Macaca mulatta: one gene and its partners. The protein of the gene in region 1 interacts with the protein of each later gene in a pairwise test. Links are inferred from orthologs where the notes say so. Each region holds a gene or a part of one and is shown on either strand. Other genes may lie near its edges.

The links. The genes of interacting proteins can lie anywhere in the genome.
Region 2: the proteins of PRKG1 (region 1) and ZNF646 interact in binary tests that used the Homo sapiens proteins (3 or more experiments, as listed by UniProt). The two-hybrid records come from large-scale screens. The link is inferred for Macaca mulatta from reciprocal best matches to the Homo sapiens genes PRKG1 and ZNF646.
Region 3: the proteins of PRKG1 (region 1) and IRAG1 interact in a two-hybrid assay, tested with the Homo sapiens proteins (2 studies listed by BioGRID). The link is inferred for Macaca mulatta from reciprocal best matches to the Homo sapiens genes PRKG1 and IRAG1.

Annotation. Positions count from the first base shown.
Region 1 is NC_133414.1:97,475,204-97,479,250, forward strand, and holds part of PRKG1 (cGMP-dependent protein kinase 1), read right to left. Parts: intron 2,033-4,047; coding exon 1,891-2,032; intron 667-1,890; coding exon 503-666; intron 1-502. UniProt on the Homo sapiens protein: Serine/threonine protein kinase that acts as a key mediator of the nitric oxide (NO)/cGMP signaling pathway. GMP binding activates PRKG1, which phosphorylates serines and threonines on many cellular proteins.
Region 2 is NC_133425.1:29,710,903-29,715,722, reverse strand, and holds the start of ZNF646 (zinc finger protein 646), read right to left. Parts: upstream 3,028-4,820; 5' UTR 2,669-3,027; intron 1,179-2,668; 5' UTR 1,100-1,178; coding exon 1-1,099. UniProt on the Homo sapiens protein: May be involved in transcriptional regulation.
Region 3 is NC_133419.1:54,820,092-54,824,773, reverse strand, and holds the start of IRAG1 (inositol 1,4,5-triphosphate receptor associated 1), read right to left. Parts: upstream 3,028-4,682; 5' UTR 2,818-3,027; coding exon 2,751-2,817; coding exon of another isoform or gene 2,677-2,750; intron 1-2,676.

The DNA.
Region 1 (4,047 bases):
TATGGGTCCTTGAGGATCTTAAAGTCTGCTTTATACCTTGCGGTGTCCCTAGTGCCTATTTGAGTTTATGATTATAACATCACAGGAAAGATCTACAAAGCAGTCACCTTTCATTTAGATATAACAGTTGCTAACAGGTCCTCTTACTTCTATAGAGAATTGACCCTAGATATTTTCATATGATTATCATCTCCCCTGTTTCATTCCTGGCTAAATGACTGGGCTAAAATATCTCACGGAAAGACATTATATCCTTCCACATTCATATATGTAAAAAAAAAAAAGTAGCAATAATGAGACCAAAAGTTGGTGCTGAGGTGGTTGCCCTAGCTTGACCTATTTTATACGTTACTTTTCCCGGTCATTCGTATAACTAATTGAACTGTGGTACCAAGATATGGTGAAATGTACTTTAAGATGGTTTAATCAGAGTGACAAAAGCGGGAGTGTGTAGCTGTTTGCCGGTCTATTTTTATCAGCAGTTCCCTATCAATATCCATACCTGCCAGTCAGGAGTTCATACATTAGGATTCCCAGTGACCAGTAGTCGGCTGAAATGTCATGGCCTTTGTTCAGGATGATCTCTGGGGCTACATACTCTGGAGTCCCACAAAAAGTCCATGTTTTCTTTCCAAATCCTATTTTCTTTGCAAAGCCAAAATCAACCTTTCAAAGAGAGAAAAGCAAGATACTTAAGCTTCTTATGATTACGTTTTAAAGTAATAAATTGTTTTGCTGAAGTACACCGATGATCATAATAATTTAAAAACATGCACGTTTTTATAGTTCTATCTTCTCAAAGGAATAGTCTGTATTGCAAACAAAGTCTCCCTGACGAAACTCAGTTTTAATTGGAAAAGTTGACATCTGAGTATAGCATAAAATTCACATCATTAAAAATAAAGGTAAATCTTTCTTTCTGAATATAGTTTTCATTTTTCCTTTGTTTATGCTAATGGAGGTTAGGGTATAAACACAGAATCTCTTCTGTACATAAAAATTTTTAAAGACCACTTGGGCCTACTTAACATCTTTCCCAGAATATAAATGGTTTCTGCTGGATTTAATGAAGTTGACAATTCATTTAGTATTAATTATTTGAAGTTATTTTATTGTTGCAGGAAGTAAGTAACATAGTTATGAGACTGGTGACTCTGCCCTTGGTAAGCATAAACAGAAATAAAAGTATAATGTATTCTTCATTTTTCTGGAACTCTTTTGAAGGAAGAGTCTTGACTGCAGAAAATCTATTTTTTCTAAAACGATTTGGTTGAAACTACAAATAAAAAACTGCCACTGATTTGATTTCTTTAAAAACCACATGCTGAATAACAATTCTAAAAAGTTTAAAAATGGAATCAAGCTGTAACAGATCCAACGAAAGTTGTGCATTTGTAAATAAGAGAACTTCTCTTCTATGGTAAATCTTTACAACTTTTGACTGTTATTATTATTACTATTACATAGCCTGGCTAGCATTGCTTGTAAAGCACATTTTTTTTTTTCTGTGACCATTATTCTTAAATCTAAAATATGGAAACGATTTAGAGTTTTCCATAATATAAAAACCCATTGCTCGTGAATGGCAAAAAGCCGACTAGAGAAAAGGACTTCTAGGCCTGTACACGTGCCAGTAAGTACGTTTTCTCGTGCTTATAAAAGTGTGTTTTGCCAGAGTATTGTTAATTCAAACTTAGCCAACTTAATTTTTCATAACTGATGCATCATTTGAAAGAACATTCAGTTGAAAATTGTAATGCTAAAACCTGCTTTTAAGAAAGTTACAACATGGAAAAGGAAAACTGAGATTTCATATTAGCAAATGAACACAGTTTTATAAACAAATATTTTAAATCTGCAGGGCAGAAAGCATGTGTGAAATGCACTGACCAGTTTGGCATAACCTCGGTGATCTAGGATGAGATTTTCTGGCTTGAGGTCCCTGTAAATGATTCCTTTGGAATGCAGATAGGCAAAAGCTTCTACCACACATGCTGTGTAAAATCTGGTTGTAGAATCTTCAAACGAACCTCTGAGATACAGAAAAGGAATGAAAATTGTACGAAAAATTAGTTTCTCTAATATGGCTTTATTTTTTTTTCTCATTTCACTATATTCGTTTGTCAAAATTTAACCCAGAGACCACTGTCCTAATAGCTAAATGTTACATGATTGCCATTACATTGGATTTTTTGAAGCATTCAAGGATTAAGTTAAGGAATTCTCTGTCTTTATGAATGGAATAGTTAAATTTCACTTCCTGAAAGGGCTGAAAGGGCAGTTAAACACACAACATATTTCATGTACTTAGTGTTTTCTTCTCAACAGCCCACTACAATCTAAAAAGGCACAGACTTATAGCAGTAGGCAGGAGAAAAAAACAATCCTATTTTAGAACTTGCTTACCAAGCATTTGTTTTTTAAAGGAGAAGTTTATGGGTTATTCATATTTATTCTCAGAGGGCCTGTTTTTTAATCTTTCTAAACAATCCACATACTGTTCATGAAAATGTGAATAAAAGCTACTGTTTTCAAAGAACCACTCTGGAAATGAGTTGTAATGCTACTGATGCAATCATAATGCAAACTAAGTACTCTTCTGTTTTTGAAACTCCTGCAACCAAAACAAACAATATCTATCTCCTACACGACGGCATTCTTATTAAGAGGAAAAGATGGACTAAAAGACAATTAGAAAGAAAAAAGTAACTAGAAGGGAATGTTTTATTAGTAATCTTGATTGTGATGTTTAGCAAGAAGGCTCTCTCTTTCTGTCTCATATATATGTGATATATGGGCACATACATGTTGATTGATTGAATGAAATAATTTACAAAAAACCTTAGTATCTAAGGTTAAACCCTTCTTTCTAGGGCAGAAAGTTTAAATTTTAACTCTTCCCCCACCATGGTACTTTTTAAATAAACCATGTTCTTTTTTTCTTTCCTAAGTAGTAAGCACAATTTAATAATTTCATTTCATAATTTAAAAATATTAGTGTGAACATCAGCTCCTGAGGTGGTTGAGAAGTAACATGAGTGACAAGCACACAAATGATTTTATTAATAGTGTGCAACAAATGATAGTCTCAGAGCTTGCTTTCATGAGTCTCTGATGCCTATTTGCATTTTGGTGACACTTTTTTTTTTTTCCCAAAGTTGTACAGTAAAGTTTAACAAACTGGGCAATGAAATATGGTCACATTTTTACAAAATTTATAAGTGAATCAAGGCTAAAGCAACCACTTTTCAGGCTATCTTTCAGAAAAAGGTAGTATCTTCCAGAAAGAGAATGTCTTTGGTTCAGCTACTAATGTAACTTGAGTTTCACTGAAATAATCAGCTTTTCCTAAGAAAAATATCATTCTTCTGAAACATAATTAATTCTAGGCATAATGATATCCATTCCTCTAGATTCTAGAATCTTAACTATAATTACCATGATTCTTGAATCTTTCTTGAATAATATCTGAATGGCACAATTGCGAATTTATGAGCACAAGAGGAAGTTTGAGAATGGCATCCGTATGAGGAAATGAATGATATACTTCATGGTACAATTTTCCTCCGACTTGAAGATATCCTTGGCAGAGCTAAAATTCTATAATCGTATGTATTTGCAAAGGGATTAAAGTATTGCCTTGAAGGTCCTTTCTTCTTTGCCCTTAATTAAGTATGTTTACCTATCAATAGAAGCATGTTTCTTTCACTTGAAGAGATTATTTACCTTAAAGTGTAAGCATCTGTGTACAGATAATTAAAATATAGCTTTAGATACACTGCTATGAATTCAATCCCTTCTCAATGGAGAGCATTGCAAAGTAAAACAAAACAAAACAAAATGAAAGAGTAAAGGGAATGGTCTTATTTTATTTCACACTATAGATCTTGTTCTTTTTTTTTCTTTTTTTTTTTTTTTTTTGAGATGGAGTCTCGCTCTGTCACCCATGCTGGAGTGCAGAGGTGCAATCTCGGCTCACTGCAACCTCTGTCTCCCGGGTTCAAGTAATTCTGGTGCCTCAGCCTCCCGAGTAGCTGGGACTACAGG
Region 2 (4,820 bases), on another chromosome or scaffold:
CACTGTCCTCCAGCTCCCCAGAGGTGCTAAGCTCTGCACAGCCATTCAGCATCTGTGCACTGGGGAGCTGGTCCCGGCTGCTCTCGTCTGTGCGCCCATTGGTGGTGGGCATCCCTTTCTCCTCCCAGGGTGGCTCCTGCCTTTCACCCTCATGGGACTGCTGGTGTTCCAGCAGCTCCCGGGGGAGCCGGAAGGCACGGGGGCAGTGGGGACAGTGGTAAGGCCGATACTGGGCATGCAGTCGAGAGTGGTTCTTCAGAGCCATGAGGTTAGAGAACTCCTTGAAGCAGATGGCACAGGGGTAGATGCCCAGCGTGTGGCTCTGGCGGTGGTTAGTGAGGCTCCCGGCGTGCTTGTAGGTCTTGCCACACTGACTACATTTGTACCGCCGCTCCTCCTCGGCAGGAGGGGACTGGGTGGGCTCCTGGCCCGCTGTGAAGTTCACTACTGATTCAGCCAGATACTGTTCCAAGTTGCTAAGAAGGCTGCTGGCTGGGGTGGGGAGAGGAGGGGCTCTGGCAGAGTTGGTGGAGGGTCCCCAGCCGTCTGCAGCATCCTCAGAATCTGGTTGGCTTGCCAAGCCTTCTCTTTGTCTGGTGGGCAGATCTTCCCACGTACCCGAAGCTGCCCTGGAGTCCGGTACAGATTCACAGTCAGGTGTCTCTTCCGTATGTTTTGTCTGGTTTTCCCAGCCTTCACCAGAGCTAAGCCTTTGGCCCCAGGAGTCAGTGGACACCGTCTCACCCTGGAGGCGTGGAGTGGCTTCCTTGGGGCGTGGGGGCCTGTGCCTGCGGCGGCCCTCAGGAGCATGAGTCCTCATGTGGCTCTTGAGAGCCATGGGATTGGAGAAGTCCTTTCCACAGGTGGTACAGGGGAAAAGGCCAGTCTCGTGGGTCCGACGATGGTTGACCAGGCTCCCGGGGTGACGGTAGCCCCGCCCACACTGCTGACAACGGTAGGGCCGAGGGATGCTGTCAGCCTCCTCACTGTCCTTGTTGGAAGATGGATGGAGCAGTTCTCGGTGCCGAGACAGCTCTGGGAGGCTGGGAAAGTGGCGCTGACAGTCAGAACAGCTGAGTGAGGGGGGTGCGTCCTCCATGGGGCAATGTAGCAGAAACCTGGAGGTTCAGAAGGAGCAGACACGTGGCAGCACCTTCCTCTGGTGGAGGGGCCGAGGCCTAGGAAGAGGGGGCAGTGGTCAAAAGGAAGGCCTGAATTAACTTCGCCTCTTGGCTATACGAGCAACAAGTTCATCTGAGGTCACTGAGAGTTTCCCCAAGCATCTGTGCCCAGGGACCTGCTTTCTACTAGATCTAATCTGCAGGCACCATCATTTAAGGCCTCCCTGTGCACAAGCTCCCCAAATATAGGAGCTCCCCTAGGCTTAAGTCATTCCTACAGGTATAGCTAAGGAAATTAAAGTCGAGAGAGATGCAACCTACTTCTGATCACAGACCTGTTATCATGTTCTTCAGACCAGACTCCAAAGGCATTACTGTCCTTTAAGGACAGTAGGACTCTGCTCCCTACAATCCTGAAACAAAAATTTTCTGTGACATCTTAAAAGGACACCAGAACCTTTTCTAGGCCTTTCAATAAGAGAAGTCCAAACCTTCCTCCTTCATCTCTCAGCTAAACAGAGTAGCTGAGAAGCACTGAAAAAGCAGCTGTTTCCTCCAGCTAATAGCTGAGGACCTGAGAGGACAGGTTAGAGGCCTCCTTCAGGGAAAGGGCTGGCTTGTTCCCCTGCTTCCCTGAGTCCTTTCAGTGTCACAAGGTCTCTTTTCCTTGTGACAAGAGAGTTAAGAGAGTTAAGACTCTCTTAACTGGGCCAGGCATGGTGGCTCACGCCTGTAATCCCAGCACTTTGGGAGGGTGAGGCTGGCGTATCACCTGAGTTCAGGAGTTCAAGACCAGCCTGGCCAACACGGTGAAACCCTGTCTCTACTAAAAATACAAAAGTTAGCCGGATGTGGTGGCAGGTGCCTGTAATTCTAGCTACTCGGGAGGTTGAAGCTGAAGAACTGCTTGAACCTGTGAGGTGGAGGTTGCAGTGAGCTGAGATCCCACCACGGCACTCCAGCCTGGGTGACAGAGCGAGACGCCATCTCAAAAAACAAACAAACAAAAACCCCAAAAGACTCTCTTAGCGACTTCCTTTATCTACTTCCCTTGAACCCAAACTATCTTCCATCTTGTGAATAACATCAATATCAGGTTGTAATGTCACTTCATCACCTACCTTTTCTCTCCCATGCCTCCTGATCTTACCTTCACCAGCCCTTCTCATTTTTTTCTTCTGCCTCCTCTCTTAATACTGATGATGACAGCAACTCATGAAGAGTATTATATTACCATGTGCCGGGCACTGTGCTAACTATATTCATTGTGTCACTCAATCTTCAGAACACACGGCAATGCCTGTTATCCTAGTTCACGTAAGAGTAAACCCACTAACTGAGGCGGTCTTCATCCCAAAGCCCTTGCTCGCTCATGCCTCGTATATCCTCTCGTCCTTCTCCAACTCTTCTTCCCATGGGAGGGACCCCAATACAACTGTCTCCCATCGTAAACGCCTTCACTGAACCTGCCCCCGGAATTCTCACCTCACAAAGCCCCTTTGATCAAAAGTCCCCTCCCCTAGTCAACCACCAATGAGTCCTCTGACCTCACTCATCTCCTCTGCCAATTTCCTTTCAGGACGCCTACCTCGCACCGGCGGCCCCCTCTCCTTCCCGCCGCGGGCGCGTCAGTTGGGGACCGCGAACGGGAGCGCGCCTGCGCACTGGGACCCTTACCCTAACTGCAGCCGCGCGCCCCAAGGGGTGGCTGTCGGGGGGCTCTCGCGCTCCCACAAACGCACACTCAGCCAGGGTTCCCAGGAGGTGGGAGGGGAGGGAAAGAGGGAAAGGAGAAGGGGGGGAAAGGAAGGAGGTAGAGAAAAGAGGGCGCAGCTGGCATGAGCCAGGAGTCTACCCCCAGCTCTGCGGACACTTCCTATTGTTACTAGGAAACAGGAAGTGTCCTTAGGTACAAAAGCTTCCCCGCGAAACTTCCGCTTTGGGAGCCCTGCCTGTCCCGCCTCCAAGCCTCCGTTTTACGCAGACACACTTCCGGCGCTAGGTTCTGGCCCTGCACTACTGACTCCGCCCACGGAGGTCACAACGAGGTGTCTTTGAGCGCTGCGCTAGCCACACTTCCGGCAAGAGCAGCTAGAATCGTTCCGGTGCATATTGAATAGGCGCAGAAGAGAGAGAAAAAGATTCTGCAACCCTGGCCACAGTACTTTGGTGACACTTTTCGTGGGGCTCCCTGGAAGACTTTTCCTAAGGAAGATGGAGAAAACTTCGTGAAATCCACTCGTTGCTATTAAAGGAAATGTTGTGGAATATAAGCGGACTTAGGTTCTGCAGAGCTTGAGCATGGCCTTTTTGTCCTCCCACCTTCTGGTTCTTGAAGACATTGCCGGTGACCTGGCCCCAGACTAACACGAGGCCGGCGTATACTGTCAGCCTGCCCTGCGTTCCCTTGCCTCAGCACCCACAGAGACCTCCTGCAAGATGCTTCTCTGCCGCCATAGGCTGGAGGTTCCCCGGGAACTTTCCCTTCCTTCCTAGCTGAGGAAGGTCCCTCACTTCCGCTCGCCGGGCCACCGGTCCCGCCTCCCCGCCCCCCGCTGGGTCCTAGCGCCGGCCCCTCTTTGGCAGGATCCGGGCTCCGTCAGTGCGAGGAGCCGACGCCGACAGCACTGGGTCAGCCCAAGTCTCATCAGGTAGGAAACGCCGGCGGGAAGCCGCGAGGGCCCCGGGCAGACCCCACGCGGCCGCAATCCGAGCTGGCCTCAGTTTCCCTGCGGGCGCCGAGGGCGGACTGGGTTGGTCCAGCGCGAGCAGCGCGGGCGGGGCGGGCGGTGAGCGGCCCTGGGCGCATTGCGGGCCCAGCAGGTCCTAGAACCCGCCGACTGTCTCCGCGGTTCTGGGCTGCGGACGGACACCCAGGCTCGGCCCGCGCGGCTGCCGTGCCGGCTCGGTGCGGGCCCGGGGGTCCTAGAGCCCGCCATGTTGCGGGCTTTTGTCCCGGCCGCGCGGCCCGCGCTGCAAGGTCCCCGGCGCCGGCGGCCCCCTCCCCGGCCGAGGCCGGGCCACCACTCTCGCGGTCCTAGAGAACGCCATCTTGCAAGCCTTTGTCCCGCATTCGGCCCTCCGTCCATTCATTTGTTCATCCCCGCATCCTTCGTTCAGTCCTGGTTGCTACGTCCCCCGAGGCCACGTTTTCCGAGGCTCAAAACGACACAAGTCAACCCAGGGTCCTGCCCTCCAGGGACTGCCTGGCTGGCGGGGGTGCAGCGTACAGACGGTTGCGAGGAGCGAGGAGCTCCGGGTTTCTGCAACTCTCGGCTCCTCGGCGCGCTTCGTAGGCCCCACCGCCCTTCAAACTCCCACAAACTTCAGGGACCCCATTTTAGTGATGAGGAAACTGAGGCCCAGAGCGGCGTGGGGCCCTTACCTCTCTCCTGCCATTAAGTATTCCTGAGGGCACTGGGGAAGGGGGTTCTTGAAGAATGTAAAGGGGCTTTCCCGTTGGAGAAGGCAGGCAAGGGCTCCCGAGCCCAGGAAACTGCATCTAGAGGCGGAGGGTTGAGAATTGTGGCTGGAGGTTCGGTCGCTGCCGGGAGGAGGACTCTGTCGCTGGAGCTGAGGCAAAAGTAGGTTGGGATCAGGTTGTGAACTGGCCGGGTTGGCGGCCTAGGAGATGATTAGCGCTCATTTCTGCAGGGTTCATCTGCTCACTAGATCACTCCTGGCCGTGAGGCCTGTGTG
Region 3 (4,682 bases), on another chromosome or scaffold:
CAGATCCTGGCACAAAGTAGGAGCTCAGTTAATACCAGTTTTCTCCCCTCTTTCCTTTTGTATCACTATCTGAGAACTCAGCTCTCCATCTCCCTCTTCTGACTCAGCTCCCCAAGGGGCAGGGGCAGGGCCAGAGTCTAGGGACCCCAAGCTCTCTTCTCCCTATCTACCCAGGCCTCTGCATCTACTCAGTCAGCAAACAGAATTCCTCTGCTGATAATAAGCCCCAGAGAAAGTGGCTGAGGGGCAGTCCAGGCTCTGTGAAGTGACCCAGGAGAGGAGGCAGGGGGAGAGAGGTGGGTAACTTCAGGCCCCGACATTGTATTCTCTCAAGTCAAACTAGATGAATCTGATCATCAGGCACATGTACAAAATCACCCTGGGGCCCTGTATAACCAGAACCCACTTTATGAGCATTGTGTCCATGTGTTCACAGAAACGTGGTTGAACCTGAGTACTTTGTGTGCTCCCAGCATCATTCTTGGTGCTAGACACATAGCGGGTGAGGAACAGGATAAGGTCTCTGCCCTTGCAGGGCTCAGTCTGCTCCTCCAGGAGGTGTGGGGTGCTTCTGCCCACCTCTGTTACAAAGGCTTAGAGGAGAGACGCAGGGCTTTTTAGAAAGCTGAGGACCCATCATGTATAGTTCAGCCCATCGGGCAAGGAACCTAGCTTCCTTACACAGACCCACAGAACTCCTCATCCCCAAACCATGAGCCCTCTCAGCCTCCCAGGGATTCAGTTTCAAGTAAGTTTCACATGGCCGTAACTTCCCTACCCAAGATACTATTTAAATTCCCTGTTTTGTCACTTGGTGGCTGGGTGAGCTTGGACGAGTCATTTAACATCCCCTAGCCCCAGTGTCCTCACCTGGAGCAGTGAGGTAAAGACACACCCCTCATGGCATTCTGTGAGGGGCATGCAAAGTCCCTTGTGGAAAGCCTCAGATGCACCGTGTTGCAAGGGGGCCAGTGATTCCCCCGCTGCACTCTGACACGAGGTCCCAAGCAGAGGGGAGCTGACCATGGAGGTCAAGAGCCTGCGGAGACCACAACCTGGGGCCGAGCACCAGCTGTGCAGCCTCTCTGTGCTAAAGTGTCCTCTACAAAACCAGGGTGGAAAGAATGACTCCTGCTTTGTAGAGCTGTGGGAGTCATGAGTTACTGTATGGGAAGGGGAACAGTGTTCAATACACAGTAAGAACCATGTGTTTATTTTCTTGCGGAAACACATTTATGGGGATAACCAATCATGTCGTAGCAGCTAGCACATGGTTATCCTTCCAAGATGATAAAGGACACAGGAATGCCTCCCTTACCTCCAAGCATAAAGATAGGTACATCTGCTGTGAACATAAACAGCCACCCACCAAACATGCATGCGCGCGCGCGCACAAACACACACACACACACACACACACACACACACACAATGGAATCATTGATGGCACAAACATGATAATGACAATGGTTTTCTCCATTAGGTCAAAAATTGCAAGACACAGTTGGAAGTAGGATCATACCCTGGCATTCACGGCTGTGTTGAGAGGCACGGGCACTGGAGTTAGAGTCATACAGACCTGGGTTTGAGTCCTAGCACCACTCCATCTTGGTAGAATGACCTTAGGCAAGTGACTTAACCTGAGTTCCCTCCCCCATAGAAGTGTTGGGGTAGGGGAGTGCAGGGGGATGGGCAACTCCACCTGCCTCACTAGCATGTCATTGTCCCTCTGTGGGGGCAACACAATCGTTGGCAAGTCCTGACTCCTTTGGACCCCCCAGCCTCACAGTCCCGGGAAGCTTCCTCCTTTTCCCTGCAAAAGACCCTGCTCAGACCAGCTTTACTTCCCTGCGCCACCCCGGCGAGCAGCCTGAAAAGTGTTAGGAAACAACAGCTGCTGAGTTCTGGGAGGCTGGAGCGCTGGCCAGGGGTCCCAGACCCCGGGCTGCTGTTTACTCAAACTGCAGAGCCTCTATAGCCTTTACAACTGTTTCCTGGGCAGGAGGGAGCAAGACAGCTGGGCCTCTCTCTGGCCTCTGGCTTCCACTGGCTTTTCCTCTGGAAAAAGCCAGTCCAAATGCTGCTCACTCTAGGAATCGCTTCAACTCGGAGCCCTGGAGGAGAGCAGGGCCAGGCATGAGCCGGGCACATACACCCCCTCTAGGGAGCGGGGAACTGCACAGGCCAGGGGAAGCTGGAGACAAAAGAGGAGACAGGGACAGAGATAAAAACAGGGGCTGTGACCAGAACATAGGATGGGAAGGGCAGGGACAGAAATAGGGGCAGGGTTAAGGATCTAGACAGGTCATGCCGCCCAGGTTCAAGGCAGAGGGGCGTAGGGGGACAGAGAGAGAGAGACATGGGAAGCACAGAGGGGAGAAAGCCCTGCCTAGCAGACTTGCCTAAGCTGAAGACCCCATTGTTGCCACAAACGGGCCCACAGGAAAGCTACGGGTTGCAATCGCCTGTCACGACCCACATTTTCACCCTGAGCTGTGCACACTTTCCAACAGCAAGCAAAAGGAGCACAATCTAGTTAAGTTAGGACTGGCAAGATTCACTTCTGATTTAAAACTTAAGACAGCAACAATAAAGATACTCAGCTGAAATGCCACCCAAGAAAGCCAGCTCCCCTGGAAAGTTAAAGTTTAGCGCCCCCATCCCAGCACCCTGTACCTTTAAGGAGGAGAAGATTCCCTCTGCTTCCCAGCCGAAGAGGCAGGTTATTCTAGGATATAGGGGAGGCTTACCTAAAACTGAGTTATTCTCCTTTCCTCCTCTGGCCAGCCTCCCTTCACTCTGGGGAGCTTTTACCATTTAAGGTCAATGTTACATCTGGCTCCGGAGCTCGGAGCCGAGAAGCCTCTGGCTGTAGAACCTCGGCCGCACGCCTCCTCTGAGAGGGGCTGGGACTTAGAGCCGAGAGCTCCTCTGGGAGCCCCCTCCGGCCTGGCTCGGGGCATAATGGCAGGGAAAGCCGACCAGCTGGCCTCAGGGTTCAGGGCAGGCTGGGCCTTTGGGGCAGTCGCTCACCCTGGGCCCTTCCGATGGGTATCCACACAGCAGATGGCAGTCCCCATGGCAACTCATGCCACTGGACACTGTCCTGGCTGGACGGGGACAAAGGGACCCTGCAGATCTCGCCACCCGCCTGGAGCCTCCAGCAAGCATGTGAGCCTGGAGAAGACCCTGGGCCAGCGCCAAAAGAAACTGGGAATGGTTCCTGTCCTGGGGATTTGGGGGCAGGGGCTGCTTCCACTGCGTTAAACTCTTGGGATTGCCAGAGAGAATGGCCTGGGAGATTCAGCTACTCCCAGACTTACCAGACTTGGCACAGGCCCCAGGGGTGTCAACCCTGCTCCTCCACTTAACAGCCTGTGGTCTTAACATCGTGGAGCCTCAGTCTCCTCATCTCTAAAGTGGGAATAATAATGATAATGCCTAACTCACTGGGTAGTCAGGGGATTAAATGAGATATTAGTCAAGTGTTTAACACACTGCCAGCATCTCATAGAGCTAGATCAGCACGAATGAGCTTCCTGCCCCTGCCCAGGAAATCCACACCCTGTCCATACACACTCTTCACCTGCCTTGGGTATAGGACCCGCCCAAGACCAGGGTCATGGAACTCCAAGCTGGCGGCAAGCTACATGGGGACTTCAGCCCCTTCTGTGGTTAGAGCGGCACAGAGAAACCCTAGGTAAAGTTGCTAGATAAATTACAGGACACCCATTTAAATTTGGATTTCAGATAAACATGGGACATACTTGTACTAAAAGACTGTTATTTATCTGAAATTCAAATTTAACTAGTCATCCTCTATTTTTGTTTGATAAATCCCGGAACCCTAGTTTTGGCCATCATTAGCCATCTAGAAAACATTCAGTATTCATGGTAGAGAGCACTAGGGATTGGAGCTCCAAGGCCTATGGCCTCAAGCCCTCCTGGCAAACACAGTCCTTATGCTCAGCTCCTGGCCACAGATCAGTGGTGCAGCAGTGGCAGACGTTCTCCACTGAGCCTGGCCCACTGAGCCTCCATCCCTTCCTCAGGCATGTGGTTCTGAGGAAGTCCTGTTTTTTCTGTGTAGTTGTTGTAAGAGAGATCACTAACAGGGGTGTAGCGCATGAAGTCTGCTACCCTCATCAATAATTGTTTTTCGTAAATGAAACCAGAGCAGGCTGTCTTAGGTAGTAGCCAAGCTTTCTCTCAAGTGTCCACACCTGTCCACGTGGAGGTGCAGGCTCCCCACACAACCCCCGTCCCCTGCAAAGCCACATGGCAGTAACTACTAGAATTGCAAGTATATGGTATAGAAGGAACCGACCAAACTCTTCAGTGCTGTTTCTCCAACTTCAATGTGCATTAGAACCCCCAGTTTTGAAGCTCCTTGGGCTCCTCTTTCAGAAATTCTAATTCTATGGATCTGAAATGGACCCAGAAATCTGCATTTTAGTGAAGACCCTTGGGTGATTCTTATGCACTTGGTCCAAGGATCCCACTTTAGGGAATGTTGCTTCAAAGGTTGATCTTATGAGTCCAGCAGCAGGTACTACAGGGACAATCAAAATCAGAAGTTGAAATGGAACCTAGGGCTGGCTCTGTGTGTGTGTGTGTATGTGTGTGTGTGTGTGAGAGAGAGAGAGTTCAAAATCATATATTGTATTGAGCACCTACTATAT